Linked DNA regions of Anolis sagrei. The protein of the gene in region 3 interacts with the protein of the main gene of each other region in a pairwise test. Links are inferred from orthologs where the notes say so. Each region holds a gene or a part of one and is shown on either strand. Other genes may lie near its edges.

Region 1 (7,428 bases), on a different chromosome or scaffold from region 3:
GCAGTTCGAAAATATGCAAATGTGAGTAGATCAATAGTTACCGCTCCGGCGGGAAGGTAATGGCGCTCCATGCAGTCATGCTGGCTACATGACCTTGGAGGTGTCTACGGACAACCCCGGCTCTTCGGCTTAGAAATGGAGATGAGCACCAACCCCCAGAGTCAGACATGACTGGACTTAATGTCAGGGGACAACCTTTACCTTACCTTTTAAGCTGCCTTGAGCCTCCTTTGGGGTAGAGAAAGGCGGGGTGTAGATAGCACCCCCGAAAGATGGCTATCCAACCTCTGTTTAAAAGCCTGGTAGCTTAATATACATGGACTTAGTTTCATGTGCAACAGTCTTCAGACTTATGTGTATAAGGTGTATATGAAACATCAATGTAAATACTGCATCTTAACTCTTGTAAAAAAAAATGGAACTATCCCTTTCTCTGAGTGGTGAAAGGTGACTCATTTTGGCTCTCCTACCTGCCTTTGACTTATACATTGAGTTTGACTTAGACTTATACCAAAGTACATATAGGCATATAAACAAATATAAAAGAAAAAGGAGAAAATATAATCATAGAATCATAGAGTTAGAAGAGACCTCATGGGCCATCCAGTCCAATTCCCTGCTAAGAAGCAGGAAAATTGAATTCAAAGCATCTCTGACAGATGGCCATCCAGCCTCTGTTTCAAAGCCCCCAAAGAAGGAGCCCCAGCCACACTCCGGGGCAGAGAGATCTTTTTCACATGCACTTCTGAAGATCTGGTATATATGTTGTGCATTGGCATAACGTTGTCCTTAACAGTTCAAAGAGATAACCAGGGATTTCAGTTTAACAGCTGAGAAGCCTAAATTGCCTTCTGTCAAGGGTATTTTGATTGTGCTTTTCCTGCATGGCAGAATGGGGTCAGACGAGATGGCCCATCGGATCTTAGAATCATAATCATAGAATCATAGAGTTGGAAGAGACCTCAAAACCATCCAGTGCCAAGCAGCAGGAAAATTGCATTCAAAGAGCATTCTCCCCATATTGCACTTTCCCCCAACTTATTGAAAGTTTAACTCCACTGTTCAGTCCTCTACGAGCTCCTTCCCTACAAATTGCACTTTTCATTGCTATCTCATCTAGTGTTTTATAATTTTATGTCAAACATCTGGCCTACCTATTGTGTTTGATTTTATATTATGTTATTTTATATTATTTATTTTATTTTATCGGTTTATTTTTACTGTGATGTTATTTTTTTGTTTATATTTTATGTTGCTGTATTGTATTGTACTGCTGTTGAAACATTCACACCTAGCTCCAACAGACAAGAGTCCTTTGTCCCACCTTGGTCATTCCACAGATGTATAAACCCTTTTTCCTAGTTCCAGCAGACCTCACTACCACTGAGGATGCTTGCCATAGATGCAGGCGAAACGTCAGGAGAAAATGCCTCTAGAACAGGGGTGCACAAACTTTTTAAACAGAGGGCCAGGTCACAGTCCCTCAAACTGGTGGAGGGCCGGATTATAATTTGGAAAAAAATGAATGAATTCCTATGCACACTGCATGTATCTTATTTGTAGTGCCGCATAGGGAAGCTGATGAGGAAACACAACATACAAACTATCTACAGACCCACCAAGAAAATCCAACAAATGCTACGTTCAGCAAAGGACAAAAGGGATCCTCTCACCTCTGCAGGAGTCTACCGTGTACCATGCAGCTGTGGACAAGTCTACATAGGGACCACCAAATGCAGCAGTATTGCCCAGACACGCATCAAGGAACATGAAAGGCACTGCAGACTACTTCAACCAGAGAAATCAGCCATAGCAGAGCACCTGATGAACCAACCTGGACACAGCATTTTATTTGAAAACACAGAAATGCTGGACCACTCTCATAACCACCATGTCAGACTACACAGAGAAGCTATTGAAATACACAAACATGTGGACAATTTCAACAGAAAGGAGGAAAGAATGAAAATGAACAAAATCTGGCTACCAGTATTAAAAAACTCTAAAATTGCAACAGCACAACAGAGGAAACAGGCAAGGACATCTACCTCTCAACAAAAGCTTGCCCCAGGCGCGGTCAGGCCATTGTATGCTAATCATGGTGGTCAGTTGGAACATTCACACCTAGCTCTAACAGAGAAGAGTCCTTTGTCTCACCCTGGTCATTCCACAGATATATAAACCCTTTTGCCTAGCTCCAACAGGCCTCACTACCTCTGAGGATGCTTGCCAAGTGCAGGCGAAACGTCAGGAGAGAATGCCTCTAGACCATGGCCATACAGCCCGAAAAAACCTACAACAACCCAGTGATTCCGGCCATGAAAGCCTTTGACAATACATTGGTGTGCACCCTCTGGGTTCGTCCGCTTAACCAATTACAGATCCACCTAACCGTAGTTTTGGCTAGCCCACATTGGACTAGTTTGCCAGAAGGTCATGGGGGACCTTGTTGAAGGCCTTACTGAAATCCACAGCATTCTCTGCACCTACCCAGCTTGTAACTCTAAATTGTAAGCCTAAATTGCCTTCTGTCAGGGGTGTTTTGACTGTGCTTTTCCTGCATGGCAGAATGGGGTCTCTTCCAACTCTATGATTCTATGACTTCTGTGCTCAGTAGCCCACAAACCTCACAAGGATTGCCCCTTGTGAAAGCCAACAAGCCCTTCCCAATAGGAAACCCCCTCCTTTCCAGCTGACAAGTCTTTGATTCTATGATTCTATAAGTCTGTATCTGTGTTGGCAGAAGAGGACCCTTCCCAAACTCCGCCCCTTCCCCAAGCTCCGCCCACAACCCCGCCCCCTGAGACACTCCATCGGGTCAGGCCCCGCCCACTCACTGTTCCCCAATGGCCATTTTGGCCCCGCCCCCGACGCACCTGAAAGAAGCTCCAAAGCCAAAAGCTCACATCCCTGACGCGACCGAGGCCTGCGCTGAGAGAGAGCGCTTCTTCCACTCAGCCCCACCGGAAGGCTCCTTTCCAACAGCCTCTAACGGCTCACTTCCGGGTGGGGCGTGGCTACGCGCTGACATAGGCTTTGCGTCCCTGGACGTGCCCTGCGTGGTTACCCTAGCAATGGTGGACCCGCCTGCGCTTTGCTTCCTACTCCGTTGGCTCCGCCCCCGCCGCATTTTCATTGGGGGATAAAAAGAGGGCTAAACCACGCCCTCTCTATGTTATGGGAATGCAATAACACAGATATTAGATTTATTCATTCATCGATTTTTTTGGATTGATATCCCGCTTCATCTTTTCAGAAAACAATAAAATAGTATTGCCATTTTTATATTATTATATATTATCAGCAGTAATATATTTCATATATTAGTGTTATATTGGTATTATATAGTATTATATTACATTATTAATATTATATGAATATATAATATATAATAATATTAGCATAGCACAATGTTAGTATTATATATTGTTATATTGTATTATTAATATTATATGAATATATAATATATGATGATATTAGCATAGCACAATATTAGTATTATATATTATTATAGTGTATTATTAATATTATATGAATATATAATATATGATGATATTAGCATAGCACAATATTAGTATTATATATTATTATAGTGTATTATTAATATTATATGAATATATAATATATGATAATATTAGCATAGCACAATATTAGTATTATATATTGTTATAGTGTATTATTAATATTATATGAATATGTAATATATGATATTATTAGCATAGCACAATATTAGTATTATGTATTATATCATATTATTATTAGTATTATAATGTATAATATTATTATTAATATTATATGTCAATATAAAATATTATATTATTCTTCCAGTTAAAGTATTACTTCATTCTCTCCACTGAGTCATCCTGAATACGCAGATTCATTTTAAAACCTCGGATCGGGGCAAAGGTCAGTTTGATGGGAACTGTAGTCTGTAAAGACCTTAAGGAAAAGCTGATGGGAACTGTTGCCTGTAAAGACACAAAGGAAAGCTTGATGTGAACTGTAGTCTGTAAAGACTTTAAGGAAAAGCTGATGTGAGCTGTAGTCTGTAAAGACCTTAAGGAAAAGCTGATGGGAACTGTAGCCTGTAAAGACACAAAGGGAAGGATGATGGGAACTGTAGTCTGTAAAGACACAAAGGAAAGCTTGATGTGAACTGTAGTCTGTAAAGACCTTAAGGAAAAGCTGATGGGAACTGTAGCCTGTAAGGACCCAAAAGGAAGGATGATGGGAACTGTAGTCTGTAAAGACATTCAGGAAAGGCTAATGGGAACTGTAATCCGAAAGGGTACAAAGGGAAGGATGATGGGAACCGTAGTCTGTAAAGTCAAAGGGAAGCTTGATGGGAACTGTAGTTTAAAGACACAAAGGGAAGGCTGGTGTGAACTGTAGTCCAAAAGGACATAAAGGCAGATTGGGACTGTAGTCTATAAAGACCCAAAGGGAAGACTAATGGGAACTGTAATCTGAAAAGACACAAAGGCTGATGGGAACTGTAATCTGAAATGACACAAAGTCTGATGGGAACTGTAGTCTGTAAAGAAATTAAGGAAAGGCTGATGGGAACTGTAATCCGAAAGGTCACAAAGTCAAGGCTGATGGGAACTGTAATCTGAAAAGACAGAGAGGCTGATGGGAAATGTAGTCTGTAAAGACATTAAGGAAAAGCTGGTGAGAACTGTAATCACAAAGAGAAGCCTGATGAGAACTGTAGTCTGAAAAGGCATAAGTAGAAAGCTGGTGGTAAATATACAGTCTGGGGATGGTCACTGTCCCTTTAAGAGGTTGCGCAATGGGGGTGTGCGGAGGTCAGGCTGGAGTGGCAGCTCTCGCAGCCTATCAGCCGCCTCCTCGGCCATCAGCTGATGGAAAGAGAGGCGGGACCAAGGAAGTGAGCAATTCCTGGGTCCAGGTGAGTGTTTTGCAAGCAGAGGAAAGTGAAGGGGGATTGGAGATTGGGGTAAAAGCCATGCCATTTCCTGCCCACCCTACTGCCTTTGCATTGCAATGGGTCGCTTCTCTCTTCTGCTTGCAATGGCTTGCAAGATGAGTGCAAGACATTCAGAATCTGGCTTCTCTCCTGCTTTTAATTTCTTCCTCCTTCCACCCAGCATAATGTCTACAGTCTTTAGGTTTCTCAATGTGTTTCAATCTCTGCCCTGTGTACTCCATATGCATTTGATAGAATTGGTATATTCTAGAACTAACATTTTAATACATGCGTTTATGGATTTTTTTTCTTGCAATGTTTGTGTGTTTTGACTGTGCCGTGAACCGCCATGAGGAAATCATAAAATTATTATTATTATTATTATTATTAAATAATATATTAGTAATATATACACTTTATATTATATGTATTTTATTCTATTATTCCTATTTTAATATTATATTTATATCCTCCTTTCTTCTCTTATAATAATAATGCTAATAATAATTGTATATTAGTAATATATACGCACACATAATATTATATGATATTAATTATATTTTATTTATTTAATTTTATTCTTATTAGTAATATTTGTATCCCACTACTCTTATTATTATTAAATTGTGTATTAGTAATATATGCACACTCATAATATTATATGATATTAATTCTATTTTATTTATTTTATTTTATTCTTATTAGTAATATTTGTATCCCACTTCTCCTATTATTATTAAATTGTATATTAGTAATATATGCACACCCATAATATTATATTAATTATATTTAATTTAATTTATTTTTATTAGTAATATTTTAGCACTATATTTATATCCCACATTCTTCTCTTATTATTATTATTATTATTAAATTGTATATTTATAATATATAAAATATCCTCAGAAGCACTTTAATTACCCGTTGGGTTGCTCTCTACTTTTGGTTTAATTACATCTGGCCCAGCCATAGGTTTTGAAATCATTGTGTGTTATTGTCTATGTGTGAGTTATATTAATTGTATTATTTATTTTGCTTATTGCTTGTTGTTTTTATCGATGTGTTGTTGGGATTGGCCTCATGTAAGCCACTCCAAGTCCCTTGGGGAGATGGTAGCGGGGTATAAATAAAGTTTTATTATTATTATTATTATTATTATTATACATATATTATATTGTTTTATATTAATTTTATGTCTATTAGTAATACTAGCTTGGGGACTCGGCGGTCCACGAGTTATTTGAAAAAAGCATTGTTTAATGTATTATCGAAGGCTTTCATGGCCGGAATCACTGAGTTGTAGGTTTTTTCGGGCTATATGGCCATGGTCTAGAGGCATTCTCCTGACGTTTCACCTGCATCTATAGCAAGCATCCTCAGAGGTAGTGAGGTCTGTTGGAACTAGGAAAAAGGGTTTATATATCTGTGGAATGACCAGGGTGAGACAAAGGACTCTTGTCTGTTGGAGCTAGGTGTGAATGTTTCAGCTGACCACCTTGATATAATGGCCTGACAGTGCCTGGAGCAAACTTTTGTTGAGAGGTGATTAGAAGTCCTTTTTTGTTTCCTCTCTGTTGTTGTTTGTTGGAGGCAAAACAGAACATCTAGGATGAATTCGTCTCTGAATGAAAGCTTTCCTTGGGTGTCGTGCAGTATGGTGTTTGGGGACGACATTGCCAGGGGTAGGGAAACATGTTCATAGTGCCCACTCTAACCTGGAATGTCAGTGGAGGGAGGGCAATCGGTGCTTCCTGCATAGTGGGAACTATAGCCTTTGTGGAGGCAGGAGGCTGTCTGTGTAACTGGACACCTCCACCACATACAGTCATACACATTTTCACTTTTATTATGTGTATAGATTAGTAATACACACACACACACACACACACACATAATATTATATTATACTAATTTTATTATTTTATTTTATGTAATGTTATTACTGGTTTCATGTTGTTGTATTTTCTTTTACTTATTACTAGCTTGGGTGCCTGGCATTGCCCATGTTATTTGAAAAAGTCAGTTTTGTAAATGTCCTAAATGCATAAAGTTGTGGGTGAACTACAACTCACATCATGCCAGGTTAACCCCGAGAAAGTCCATCAGTACTTCAAGTTTGCTATGTTTGCTCCGAGTTTCTCAACCTGGGGGTCGGGACCCCTGGGGGGGGGGTCGCGATGGGGTGTCAGAGGGAACGCCAAAGACCATCAGAAAACACAGTATTTTCTGTTGGTTGTGGGGGTTCTGTGTGGGAAATTTGGCCCGATTTTATTATTGGTGGAGTTCAGAATGCTCTTTGACTGTAGGTGAACTATACATCCCAGTAACTACAACTCGCATATGTCAAGGTCTATTTTCCCCCAAGAGCACCTCCATTTATTATTATTACATTTATTATTTTACTCTAATGATTATTATTACATTTATTATTTTGCTCTATTATTGTTATTATTACACTTATTATTTCACTCTATTATTATTACATTTATTATTTTACT
Region 2 (7,656 bases), on a different chromosome or scaffold from region 3:
ACAGGTTGAGAATCACTGATCTTGGGCCTCTTCCACACAGCTGAATAAAATCCCATATTGGCAAAAGTATGATAGCTGGGACCCTATGATGGTTGCGCACCATGGGTCAGAATTCGTGAAGGGAATGCATGCGCGAGACAGTGCAGTGAGTGAGAGACGCAGCAGCGAAGGAGGGAGGAGGACGTGGTCTATGGCTTACATGTCATCCCCTCCCAGAGCCCCGGCTCCTTCACTGTCAGAAAGTGGGTGGGGGAAAGCACAAGAAGGGGGGGAGGAATCCAGTTCCTGCCGCTCTGTTTGCACTAGAGCCTTGTAAAAACCTTCCCCGGCCGCCAGCACACTTTCCGCCCTTTGAGAAAGAAGCCCAGCATGGAAGCAACGAAGGAAGTATAAAGAACTTTGTGTTACAGAAACCTTGTTCTTGTAAATAGTGTTGTTGTTTTTCATTCGTTCAGTCGTCTCCGACTCTTTGTGACCTCATGGACCAGCCCATGCCAGAGCTCCCTGTCGGCCGTCACCACCCCCAGCTCCTTCAAGGTCAGTCCAGTCACTTCAAGGATGCCATCCATCCATCTTTCCCTTGGTCGGCCCCTTTTCCTTTTACCTTCCACTTTCCCCAGCATAATTGTCTTCTCTAGGCTTTGCTGTCTCCTCATGATGTTGCCAAAGTACTTCAACTTTGTCTCTAGTATCCTTCCCTCCAGTGAGCAGTCGGGCTTTATTTCCTGGAGGATGGACTGGTTGGATCTTCTCGCAGTCCAAGGCACTCTCAGAACTTTCCTCCAGCACCACAGTTCAAAAGCATCGATCTTCCTTCGCTCAGCCTTCCCTAAGGTCCAGCTCTCACATCCGTAGGTTACTACAGGGAATACCATGGCTTTGACTAGGCGGATCTTTGTTGCCAGTGTGATGTCTCTACTCTTTACTATTTTATCAAGATTGGCCATTGCTCTCCTCCCAAGAAGTAAGTGTCTTCTGATTTCCTGGCCACAGTCTGCATCTGCAGTAATCTTTGCTCCTAGAAATACAAAGTCTGTCACGGCCTCCACATTTTCTCCCTCTATTTCCCAGTTGTCAATCATTCTTGTTGCCATAATCTTGGTTTTTTTGATGTTTAGCTGCAACCCAGCTAAATAGTGTAAATAGTGTAACCATATTATTTTACTACAAAGAAAAGCCTCCAAAAGAAAAGATAACATTGGTCTGTGTGTTTTTCGTCTTTTTACCACTTTGGACTACTGGTGCTGGGTCATGATGCTGCTAGTAAGTTACTCTACTCTACATTTATTATTATTATTATTATTATTATTATTATTATGTCTGATAAATTCTAATTTCAAAGGGTGGAGGCCTGAAACTAGAAGGCTGCCCACAAGGCCGTAGCCAGAAAAAAATTTCGGGGAGGGTTGACAATTTGGGGGGGGGGGGTGTTTGAACATTTGGGGGGGGGGTTGAAACCTGCCTCCTAGCTCACGCTGAAGCAAAGAGCACAGCAGGGAGCAGAGCAGCCTTCAATAGCCTGCAGCTCCACCCCTGTCAACCACCTCCACCAAGTCTGGCCTCCTTAATGAGTTGCTTGGTTGCTGCAGTACACTGGCTATTGCTGCAAGTAATGGCAGTGTGAATAAATTGTCAATATTTGCTTGAGATAGTGCTTACAGTTCTGGGGGGACTCTTAATTTTTTGCATCTCATAGACTTAGCATGGGGATTGGGTTAACCAGTTAAAATTCATGAGTAAACCAGGCTTTTAAAAAAATCTGAAACATTTCGGGGGGATGTATTGTCGAAGGCTTTCATGGCTGGAATCACTAGGTTCTTGTGGTTTTTTTTCGGGCTATAGAGCCATGTTCTAGAGGCATTTCTCCTGACGTTTCGCCTTCATCTATGGCAAGCATCCTCAGAGGTAGTGAGGTCTGTTGGAATTAGGACAATAGGTTTATATATCTGTGGAATGGCTGGGGTGGGGCAAGGAGCTCTTCTCTGCTGGAGCTAGGTGTGAATGTTTCAACTGACCACCTTCATTAGCATTTGAAGGCCTGGCTGAGCCTGGGAAAATCCCCTGTTGAGAGGTGTTAAGATGTGCCTGGATGTTTCCTCTCTGCTGTTTTGCTGTTGTAATTTTAGAGTTTTTTTAATACTGGTAGCCAGATTTTGTTCATTTTTGTGGTCTCTTCCTTTCTGTTGAAATTGTCCACATGCTTGTGGATTTCAATGGCTTCTCTGTGTAGTCTGACATGGTGGTTGTTGGAGTGGTCCAGCATTTCTGTGTTCTCAAATAATATGCTGTGTCCAGGCTGGTTCACCAAGTGCTCTGCTATGGCTGACTTCTCTGGTTGAAGTAGTCTGCAGTGCCTTTCATGTTCCTTTCGGGGTGAGTTTGAACCCCTAAAACCACCCCCTCGCTACAGGCCTGGCTGCTCATATAGTTCACGTGAGGCAATATCTGAATGGAGGACTTCTTGGATCAGGGCCGGCCATCAAACACTTCCCAACAAAGGCAGGAAGCAGCCAGGCCTTGAAGCTAAAAGGCTACTCAGTACTTAGCAAGCTGGGCAACAGCAACAGGGAAAAGAGTTCTTTCTCCCAACCTGGATATATAAACCCCATTTGCCTAGTTTCCAACAAGCCTCACAACCTCTGAGGATGCCTGCCATAGATGTAGGAGAAACGTCAGGAGAGAATACTGCTGGAATATGGCCATACAGCCAAAAAGACTCACAGCAACGTAGTGACCCTGGCGTTAGAGTACACACAGCAGCCACCCTCCCTCCCTCCCCTCCGGAGTGTCTCCCTGTTTCTCTCTGACTCACCCGCGGGGTTCGGGGCGGCGGCAGCGCTGGCAGCGGCCCCGAAGTTGAAAGCCATGAGGCGGGAGGAAGGCCGCAGACCCGCTCACAGAAGGAGGGTCCGCCTCTATCCGCGTCCGGGCGGAAACACTCACCCCGGGGAGAAAAGGGCCGGGCAAAGTGTACAGATAGGAAAGGATATACATCCATCAGATAGGAAAGAATATACATACATCCGTACACATTTATACACACACACACACACACACATATATATATACCTACATAGATATATGTGTGTGTGAGGGGGTAGTTTTATCTCTACAAGGACAAGGCTTCACCCGGACCTTAAAGCAAGGAGCACCGCGCTGAGAGGTTGGTTGCCACAGCGCATGCGCAGATTGTTTGCATGCGAGGCACCTTGTTGACACGGCGCACGCTAAGGACGTCAAGCAATGTCATCGGCGCTCTTTAATGACGTCAAGCAATGACATTCAAGTGTAACTTCTAGACTGAGTACTGGCTTCTGAACTAGTTTCTTCCAATTAAAGGCAGGCCATTTAAAGATATATATTTCCCTCTGCAGGAATGATGTAGCCATGGTGGATAATATACCAATATATATATATGATAATATATACATAATAATATAAATTATTATTATGAAGTCTGACTTGGCCACGGTAGTCCACGCTCTGGTTACATCCCGTTTAGACTACTGCAACGCTCTCTACGTGGGGTTGCCTTTGAAGACAGCTCGGAAGCTCCAACTAGTCCAACGCTCGGCAGCCATGATTTTAACAGGAGCGGAGCGCAGGGAGCATACAACCCCCCTGTTGCGCCAACTCCACTGGCTACCGATCTGCTACTGGGCTGAATTCAAAGTGCTGGCGTTGGCCTTTAAAGCCCTAAACGGTTCCGGCCCAAGCTACCTATCTGACCGCATCTCTGCCTATGAACCCACCAGGACTTTAAGATCTTCCAGGGAGACCCTGCTCTCGATCCCGCCTGCTTCTCAAGCTCGGCTGGTGGGGACGAGAGATAGGGCCTTCTCGGTGGTGGCTCCTCAGCTGTGGAACGCCCTTCCTACGGACATTAGGCTAGCACCATCTCTGATGGTATTCCGCAAAAAAGTGAAGACCTGGCTGTTTGAGCAGGCGTTCGAATAATTAGTGCAATGATTGGTTAATGAACACTGGAATAGAACAATGGATGACGAATCTGGAACATGTTTTTTATGATGAGACGACAGTGAATGGGTATTGTAGCAACTGTTTATTAATTAAACAGCTACTCACTACCTCTGAGGATGCTTGCCATAGATGCAAGCGAAACGTCAGGAGAAATGCCTCTAGAACATGGCCCTATAGCCCGAAAAAACCCACAAGAACCTAGTGATTCCAGCCATGAAAGCCTTCGACAATACATTGTTTATTAACTGTGTAATGTGTTAGGTTGTTAACTGTTTCTATACTGTAGCACTGGATTTTTGCTGTTCATATTTGTTGTGAACCGCTGTGAGTCGCCTTCGGGCTGAGAACAGCAGTATATAAGTTAGGTAAATAAATAAATAAATAAAATAATATATCACAATGATTTCTATATATATGTTATTATATATAAATAATAAATTATGATGCCTGCCGTAGATGTGATATTTATTTATATTATATAATATAAATAATGTAAATTAAATATAAATAGTAATAAATTACTACGATGGATAATATATGAGGAAAATATATATTAATAATTGTGCATAAATAATAATTTATAATATATTATTATGATTGGTAATATATAATGATGATGATAATATTATATATATGGTGAGATGTGTTCCACACTGGGCATGCATACTCAGCAAAGTGCAAGAGTAGCATAACGCAAGGGCAGATGTCCTCACTGTGTCTGTTTGTGATCCCCAGGTTGTGCCAGTCAGCTTTCGTATGATATTGTTTCTAGCACCCAATTTTTGCTTGATATTCAGGCAGTGCTTCTTGTAGGTCAGTGAATGGTCCAGGGTAACTCCCACTTATTTGGGTGTGCTGCAATGCTCCCGTGGGTTTTCTTTGGACTGCTAGGTTGGCAGAAGCTCACTCCACTCCCATATTTATACCCCACCTTTCTCAATCCCTCAGGGGACTCAAGGTGGCTTACATCTATAGACAGCGATTCAATGGCATGCAAACATAGTAAAATAAACATACATTTTAAAAAATCATTAAAACATATCAAACCTTAAAACCATTTATTTAAAAACATTATCCAAAATCATAATCCATGGCTGTTCCAAATTGTCATTTCACTATTTCATATTTTTCTAATGGGTTACTAACCAAACTATCCCACATCCATGTCTTTAGCCTTTTCCTGAAGGTCAGGAGGGAGGGGGCTGATCTGACCTCATTAGGGAGGGAGTTCCATAGCCGAGGGGCCACCACTGAAAAGGCCCTATCTCTTGTCCCCACCAACCGCACCTGTGAAAGAGGCAGGACCGAGAGCAGGGCCTTCCCAGACAATCTTAACCTTCTAGCTGGCTCTTAGAGGGAGAAACGTTCAGACAGGTAAACTGGGTCAGAACCATTAAGGGCTTTATAGGCTAAAACCAGCACTTTGAATTGTGCTTGGTAGCAGAGTGGCAGCCAGTATTTCCCTCAATGTTATACAATCAACTTTCCTTAAATCCAAGGCTTGTGTTTGTTTGTGCTCGTCTTTGGCCAGTTCCACAATCAGGAAATGTAGCACTACATTATCACAACATCCCTAAGGTTTTGTTGCATACCTTCAAGTTGCTTCCACCTTACAACAACCTTAAGCATCTTTCTCATGCTGAAGGTATGGGACTGACTCAACCAAGGACATGCGGTGGGTTGAACTGTGGTTGGTCTCCGGAGTCACAGTCAAACATGCAAAACAGCACACTACACTGGTTCAGCTTACCTTAGTAGTTCCTTCACTTTCACAGCAAGCACGTTTTCCCCCAATGCACCACTTGCTTTGATTCCAGTGAACAATGAAGAGAAAGGCAATGAAACAACAAAAAAGCCATTTATTCTGAATACTCCACATTCATGGACAAAGTTCAGTGAAGCTTACTTGGTTTGTTACATATTACGTGGTGAGTAAAGAGCCACATTGTTACAAGCCCCTCCTCAAAAAAGGACACAGTCGTAACATCAAAGAAGACTGATTTACCCAGGATAATGCTTCCAATTAAAGAAAGTTAAAAATTTAAATGGTTGATCTGTTATGGCCTTCTGACACTGTACAGTATTTCCCCTTTTGCATTAAAATGCCCTCAAACTGACTCTTTACAAGTAGTATTAGTGTTCTCTGGCTGTTCGACTGTACATGTTTTTGGTTAGTCTTCTATGTGCATAAAACAGACCTCAGGAAAAAAGAGTATCTTACTGTTTGTTTAAGGAAATGATGAAGATCAGCTCTTGTGTTGCATCGGAAACAATACAGAAACGGGCGACACTTGGAAAACTAACAAATTTATTATAGCATGACCACAAAATGTTATGTTTTCATACATTTGTTAGTTTTTAGGGTACCTTAGTATAAAGACGACAGATTTACCAATTTGATCTTAATACAAATCCTAAGGAAGTTGCTATTCCTCAGGCTGAAGTCCTCCTCACGTAAAACAAAGCTGACATTCGCTCCCTTAAGAGTTATTGTAATGATTACCCAGATTATTAGTACCTGAAGCTCTTTGAGAAGTGAACACAGCCACCCTGTAAACACTATTGTGTTAGAACGCATGCTGCTCACATTGAAAAGAAACTGCAAGTAAAGGAAGTGAAGGAGAATTGGGCTAATCCACGCATGGGCAAACTTCGGCCCTCCAGGTGTTTTGAACTTCAACACCCACAATTCCTAACAATATTATTAAATATTTGCCACTGTATGTTGTGAACTGCCCTAAATCCCCAAGCTTATAACTTTTTCTCTAATATACTGTAGTTTTGAATTTGCTATCCAAGCACAACCTCTGTGCTAAAAAGAAAAATGATATGAAACCTGCTAGAAATGGAAAAAGGTGCACTAGCTGGATCTTTTGTCCAACCTAATCCTTACAGTTGGTTCAATTCTTACAGTTAAGAAAGAGAAGAAAAATGAGAAACAGCTGAGAAAGAAGATAAATGGTATGAACCCTACTAGAAATTGAAAAAGGTGCATTAGATGGATCTTTGGTCCAACTCGATTCTTACAGTTGGTTCAATGGCTCTTGGGCTAGACTAATGGGTATTAACAATAAGCGGCAATCATTTGTAAATATATTGTGAATCAAAAAATCCATGTATTTTTGACACATACAGTCTTGCTTATCCAACCTTCACTCATCCAACGTTCTGTATTATCCAACGCAATCTGCCTCCTGCCTGGATCCACAGCTGTTTCAATACATTGCAATGTTTTGGTGCTAAATTCGTAAATACAGTAATTACTACATAACGTTACCGTGTATTGAGCTGCATTTTCTGTCGATTTGTTGTAAAACATGTTTTGTTGCTTAATTTGTAAAATCATAACATAATTTGACGTTTAATAGGCTTTCCTTAATCCCTCCTTATTATCCAACATTTTAGCTTATCCAATGTTCTGCTGGCCCATTTATGTTGGATATGCAAGACTCTACTGTATTCCAAAACAGAGGGGGAAATGTTTACATTGCCAGCAAGACTAGTAATTACTTTACTGTTATGAGAAGGAATAGGAGGAGAGGAAAAATCAGGAAGGGGGGATTTGGTGAACACACTCAGTGAGGTTTCAGCTAATACTGCACTTGATACTGCACTTGATACACATGCAATAAGAAAAGAGCGTGGGAGATCTCTCGGAACACTTCTGGCTTCCAC
Region 3 (7,147 bases):
AAAACAATACAATTAATATAACTTACATATAAACAATAACACACATAATTTAATAACACAGAGAATTTAAAATGGTGAATAATGCGTGCAGAGCCCAGTAAGGTGGCCTTCTGCAGCTGGCATATGAAATTTTGTCAGCGCAGATTATGTTTAAGTGCAAGCCAAGGTCTGTAGGCACTGCACCCAGTGTGCCAGTCACCACTGTGACCACCTTTAATAATAATAATAATAATAATAATAATAATAATTATTATTATTATTATTATTATGAACTGGACACACGCAGAGCCGGATGATTTGGAAAGAAAAACAAGAAAGCTGATGACAATCCACTCCTCATGACACCCGCGTAGTGATGTTGACAGATTTTACCTGCCCAGAAAATCAGGAGGCAGAGAGAGGGCTTCTGCAAGGGAAACAAATAGTAGAAGAAGAGAAACACACACTGGCAGATGATGTGAAAGGCAGTCAAGAACCAACATTGAGGAAAGTTAGTAGTAAACTGCTTCAAGTGCAAAAGACAAAGAGGGAATACTGTAAAAACACAATCCAGAGCAGAAGAGAAAACTGGCAAAAGAAGGCTCTCCATGCACAATTCCTGGCATAAATTGAGAGCCAAATTGACAAAGTAAAATCATGGCTGTGGCTCACAAATGGAACTCTGAAAAAGGAGACAAAGGAGGGCCTGATTCTGGCAGCCCAAGAACAAGCCGTTAGAACCAAAGCCATCAAAGCCAGAATTGAAAAGTTGACGACAGATCCCAAGTGTAGACTCTGCAAGGAAGCAGATGGAACAATCGATCCCATCCTCAGCTGCTGCAAGATCACGCAGATAGACTACAAGCAGAGGAACAACACCGTTGCTCAGATGATCCATTGGAACTTGTGCCACAAACACCATCTTCCTGTGACAAAGAACTGGTGGGATCACAAGCCGGAAAAAGTTACAGAGAATGAACACATCAAACGCCTCTGGGACTTCTGGATTCAGACAGACAGAGTTTTGGAGCATAATACTCCTGACTTCACGATCATGTTAAAAAACAAAGTATGGATTGTCGATGTTGCAATCCCAGGCGACAGCAGGATTGAAGGGAAACAACTGGAAAAGCTGATACGATATTAAGATTTAAAGATCGAACTGCAAAGACTCTGGCACAAGCCAGTCAAGGTGGTCCCAGTTGTGATCGGCACACTGGGTGCAGTGCCTAAAGACCTTGGCCTGCACTTAAACACAATCGGCGCTGACAAAATTACCATCTGCTATCTGCAGACGGCCACCTTACTGGGATCTACACGCATTATTCACCGATACATCACACAGTCCTAGACACTTGGGAAGTGCCCGACGTGTGATCCAATTCAACAATTACAATATACCTTGTAATATACTTACAAGGTATATATTACATATTGTATGTAATATATACCTTGTAAGCCGCTCTGAGTCTGCTGTGGACTCATCTTGTTGTGTTTCAAATAATGATGATGATGATGACGATGATGATAATAACCAGACATCACGATTGTGGAAAAGAAAATGTTATTGATGTCGCCATACCAGGTGACAGTCGCATTGAGGAAAAACAACACGAAAAATTCAGCCACTATCAAGACCTCAAAATCAAACTGCAAAGGCTCTGGCATAAACCAGTACAGGTGGTCCCAGTGGTCATTGGCGCACTGGGTGCCATGCCAAAAGATCTCAGCAGGCACCCAGTGCGCCGATGACCACTGGGACCACCTGGAGTGGTTTATGCCAGAGCCTTTGCAGTTCGATTTTGAGGTCTTGATAGCGACAAAATCACGATCTGTCAACTGCAAAAGGCCACCTGACTTGGATCTGCGCGCATCATTTGAAAATACATCACACAGTCCTAGATGCGTGGGAAGTGTTTGGTTTGTGATTTTGTGATACGAAATCCAGCACATATATCTCATTTGCTGTGACATACTGTGGTTTGGTGTCAGTATAATAATAATAATAATTCATACCCCACCTTAATAATAATAATTTATAATTTATTATTATCTTTATTTATACCCCACCTTTCTCCCCATGGGAGAAATGTTATAATGTAATGCAATGTAATAATAATATGATATTATAATTATATATTTATATTACATCATCATCATTTAATAACTTATTAATCGCCCTCCATCCGAGAATGCTCCATTCTAATATTACTAATAATATTACGATATAGTGGTATGGTGCAATATAGCAATGTTCAATGCTGATATTGTACTATGCTAATAATATAATATATTGTATGTATGTATATATATACATATATATCTTATAAGCCAATCTGAGTCCCCTTCGGGGTGAGAAGGGCGGCATATAAATGTCGTAAATAAATAAATAAATAAATGGATCTGGGTTGAAGTTGGCCCACATTCACACCTGGAACAACTTTAAAAACTGGCAAGAATTGATAGAGGACGATGGGAATTGGAGTCGATTCAAACCTGTCATGGTCACCCATAATAGATCTGGACCAAACTTGGTACGCATGCCCTCCTTTACCCAACATAATGGGTTCTTCCCTACAGTGAGTGCCTACTGCCCTCAATAGGGATGTCAGACTGCATCACCCATCATCCCCAGATGCCCTTGTGCCTTGGGAAAGGTAGAATTGAGCTTTGTGGCCTCCCTTTCCCAGAATAAATGGATCCTTCTCTATAGAGGAGGGGTTCCTAACCTTTGGTCCTCTAGGCCTTTTGGACTTCAGCTCCCACAATTCCTAACAGCTGCTAAGTTGGCTAGGATACCTGGGAGTTGAAGTCCAAAACACCTGGAGGGCCCAAGGTTGGGAACCCCTGCTCTATAGAGACATTGGACTGCACCACCCATCAGCCCAGACCCCTAGAGCCTTGGGAAAGGCTGGAATGGGCTTTGTGATCTCCTGTTCAAAGCCTGGATGGGTCCTTCCCGGCAACCAAGGCCTCTTGTATTCAATTGGGGGCTTTGGACTGCACCCTCCACCATCCCCAGGCTCTTACCTGCCCTCCAGGCCCCCTCCCCGCGCTGCCACGGCGACAGCATCAGCCCCGCCCCATTGGAACGTACCATTCGTCCAATGGGGGGAGGAGACAGAGAATCCAAAGGAGCGCTTTGCATTGTGGGAAGTGTAGTTCCCATTGGAAGAGTCCAAATCAGAAAGAAGGGGAAGGGGGATCGAGAGGCCCCCTTTGTCCCAATGAATCATAGAATCATAGAATCAAAGAGTTGGAAGAGACCTCATGGGCCATCCAGTCCAACCCCCTGCCAAGAAGCAGGAATATTGCATTCAAATCACCCCTGACAAATGGCCATCCAGCCTCTGCTTAAAAGCTTCCAATGAAGGAGCCTCCACCACACTCCGGGGCAGAGAGTTCCACTGCTGAACGGCTCTCACAGTCAGGAAGTTTTTCCTAATGTTCAGATGAAGCTTTGGAGTAGAAGTGCACAGGATTTTTCCTATAATAATAATAATAATAATAATAAATTAATAATAATGGGTTGTTGTAGGTTTTTCAGGCTGTCTGGCCATGTTCCAGAAGCATTCCCTCCTGACGTTTCGCCCACTTTTATGGTAGGCATCCTCAGAGGTTGTGAGGTCTGGGTTGTTGTAGGTTTTTTCGGGTCTAGAGGCATACTCTCCTGACGTTTCGCCTCAATCTATGGCAGGCCTATTGGAACTAGGAAAAAGGGCTTATATATCTGTGGAATGACCAGGGTGGGACAAAGGACTCTTGTCTGCTGGAGCTAGGTGTGAATGTTTCAACTGACCACCTTGATTAGCATATAATGGCCTGACAGTGCCTGGGGGAATCTTTTGTTGAGAGGTGATTAAATGTCCTTGTTCGTTTCCTCTCTGTTGTTGTGCTGTTGTAATTTTAGAGTTTTTTTTAATACTAGTAGCCAGATTTTGTTCATTTTCATTGTTTCCTCCTTTCTGATGAAATTGTCCACATGCTTGTGTATTTCAATGGCTTCTGTGTGTAATCTGACATGGTGGTTGTGAGAGTGGTCCAGCATTTCTGTGCTCTGTTTCACCATTGCCTCACCACCAGCTACTTTCAGTGGGACAATGAGTTCTATGAACAGAAAGATGGAGTAGCTATGGGGAGCCCCCATAGCTAATTTGTACATGGAACACTTTGGAAAACAAGCCCTGAAAACAGCAACAAAAAAGCCCACTATATTGAGACCCTATATTCAAGGGTCTGGAGAACAAGCCCTATGAGGAGCGGCTTAAGGAGCTGGGCATGTTTAGCCTGAAGAAGAGAAGGCTGAGAGGAGATATGATAGCCATGTATAAATATGTGAGAGGAAGCCACAGGGAGGAGGGAGCAAACTTGTTTTCTGCTTCCTTGGAGACTAGGATGCGGAACAATGGCTTCAAACTACAAGAGAGGAGATTCCATCTGAACATGAGGAAGACCTTCCTGACTGTGAGAGCCGTTCAGCAGTGGAACTCTCTGCCCCGGAGTGTGGTGGAGGCTCCTTCTTTGGAAGCTTTTAAACAGACGCTGGATGGCCATCTGTCAGGGGTGATTTGAATGCAATATTCCTGCTTCTTGGCAGAATGGGGGTTGGACTGGATGGCCCATGAGGGCTCTTCCCACTCTTTGATTCTATGATTCTATGACTCCCCCCTGGGCACACAGAGGACTGGGCGACTTGGAAGGCGCTGAACAGACTGCGCTCTGGCACCACAAGATGCAGAGCCAATCTTAAGAAATGGGGCTACAAAGTGGAATCCACGACATGCGAGTGCGGAGAAGAGCAAACCACTGACCACCTGCTGCAATGCACCCTGAACCCTGCTGCATGCACAATGGAGGACCTTCTTGCAGCAACACCAGAGGCACTCCAAGTGGCCAGATACTGGTCAAAGGACATTTAATCAACTACCAAGTTTGCAAAATTTGGGTTTTTTTTATCTGTTTGTTTGTTTTGTTCTGTTAGAAATGTAATACAATGGTACGGTTGCTGATGACACAATAAATAAATAAAAAACCTCTCAACAAAAGATTCTCCCAGGCACTAAGAAGCCACACCTAAAAACTGTCAGGCCTTCAAATGCTAATCAAGCTGGCCAATGGCAACATTCACACTTGCCTCCAACAGACAAAAGTTCTTTCTCCCACCCTGGACATCATTCCACAGATATATAAACCCATTTTTCCTAGTTTCCAACAGCCCTCACAACCTCTGAGGATGCCTACCATAGATGTGAGCGAAACGTCAGGAGAGAATGCTTCTGGAACATGGTCAGACATCCCGAAAAACCTACAACAACCCAGTGATTCCGGCTATGAAAGCCTTCGACAACACATTATTATTATTATTATTATTATTATTATTATTAATATGAAACATAATAAAATAAGTATATAAATATAATATAAAAATAAATATATAAATTATATATATATATATATATATATAATATGAAACATTAAAAAATAAAAATCATACAATAAATATGAAACATAATAAAAATACATTCCATTATTGCTTTGAAAAATTTTAAGAAATAATAATGAAGCCCTTTGGTATAATTTTCCATTAAAATATTGTAAAACCATTAAAATATTGTAAAAGTATTGTATTTCCCATTCAAATATTGTAAAATATTTGAGGATCCCTCAAAGACATCAAAGTGTCTGTGCGTATTTTTCGTGCTTTTAAATATATATATATAACATGTCTTTATTAATGTTTGAAAAGAAAAGCAGAGGGCCGATAAAGTGGATTTGAATGGCGCTCGATAGCTCTGCCTTCGACTCCTTTTGCCTGGCTGGGGAGGAAGCGAGGGAACGAGGCGGATGACGTCATACGTAACGTCATCCTCGTCCGTTTATGATTGCGTAAGGAGCGCTGCGACGCGATGGCATGCCGGGATTTGTAGGCGGAAGTTTCTGACTGGCGAGGGCGGCCTGTTGCTGGAGGCTAGAGCTTCGAGCTCCGCCCTTCGGTTGGGCTGGGGACGCGGAGGGCGCGCCGACCCGCTCGGGAGACGGTTCAGTTCAGCCCGGGGAGTTTCGGAGGCCTCGGAGAGCGACGGCCGCGACCCCTTCGGCGTTTTGAGGAAGGAAAGAGGCGGCGGGTGAGGAGGACGCCCAAAGCGAGGCGGGCGGGCCCCGGAGAGCGGGAGGGAGGGGAGGCATTAAAGGGTGGGATTGATTTTGTGTTTGGTGGGTCAGTGCCTGGAAAGGAAGTGGAGCGGGCGGGCGGGGATAATTGATTTTGGAGCCCTGTTCCATTTTCAGGCAAGGTTAGAAAAGGAGAAGAGGAAGGGTATATTAGAGGTTCTTTAATAGGGACAGGTGGACGTTCAAGAGGGAGGACTTTAGATGAATGCACAACAGGTAGAACTTTAGGTGCATGTCCAGCAGGTAGACCTTTACATGAATGCACAACAGGCAGAACTTTAAGTGCATGTCCCAACAGATAGAGCTTAGGTGGATGGTGAGCTTTGGGTGGATGTCCAACAGGTAGAACATTAGGTGAATGTACTAAAGGTAGAGCTTTAGGTGGATGTACCAATGATAGAGCTTAGGTGGATGGCGAGCTTTGGGTGAATGTCCAACAGGCAGAGCTTTGGGTGAATGTACCAAAGGTAGAGCTTTAGGTGCATGTCCAACAGGTAGAACTTTAGGTGGACGTCCAACAGGTAGACCTTTAGATGAATGCACAAGAGGTAGAACTTTAGGTGGACGTCCAACAGGTAGACCTTTAGATGAATGCACAAGAGGTAGAACTTTAGGTGGACATCCAACAGGTAGAGCTTTAGATGAATGCACAACAGGTAGAGCTTCGTGTGGATGTCCCAAAGGTGGATGGTGAGCATTGGGTGAATGCCCAACAGGTAGAATTTAGGTGCATGTCCAACCCGTAGAATTTTGGGTGGCTGTTCAATAGGTAGAGCTTTAGGTGGATGTACCAATGATAGAGCTTAGGTGGATGGCGAGCTTTGGGTGAATGTCCAACAGGTAGAACATTAGGTGGATGTCCAACAGGCAGAGCTTTAGGTGGATGTACCAAAGGTAGAGCTTTAGGTGGATGGTGAGTTTGGGTGAATGTCCAACAGGTAGAACTTTAGGTGGATGTCCAACAGGTAGAGCTTCAGGTGGATGTTCCAAAGGTAGA

The links.
Region 1: the proteins of IFT20 (region 3) and KXD1 interact in binary tests that used the Homo sapiens proteins (3 or more experiments, as listed by UniProt). The two-hybrid records come from large-scale screens. The link is inferred for Anolis sagrei from reciprocal best matches to the Homo sapiens genes IFT20 and KXD1.
Region 2: the proteins of IFT20 (region 3) and NUP54 interact in binary tests that used the Homo sapiens proteins (3 or more experiments, as listed by UniProt). The two-hybrid records come from large-scale screens. The link is inferred for Anolis sagrei from reciprocal best matches to the Homo sapiens genes IFT20 and NUP54.

The regions. Positions count from the first base shown.
Region 1 is NC_090034.1:50,953,144-50,960,571, forward strand, and holds the start of KXD1 (kxDL motif-containing protein 1), read right to left. Parts: upstream 3,039-7,428; 5' UTR 2,877-3,038; intron 1-2,876.
Region 2 is NC_090025.1:13,510,144-13,517,799, forward strand, and holds the start of NUP54 (nucleoporin p54), read right to left. Parts: upstream 3,039-7,656; 5' UTR 2,868-3,038; coding exon 2,813-2,867; intron 1-2,812. UniProt on the Homo sapiens protein: Component of the nuclear pore complex, a complex required for the trafficking across the nuclear membrane.
Region 3 is NC_090031.1:25,687,663-25,694,809, forward strand, and holds the start of IFT20 (intraflagellar transport protein 20 homolog), read right to left. Parts: upstream 3,073-7,147; 5' UTR 3,010-3,072; intron 1-3,009. UniProt on the Homo sapiens protein: Part of intraflagellar transport (IFT) particles involved in ciliary process assembly. May play a role in the trafficking of ciliary membrane proteins from the Golgi complex to the cilium.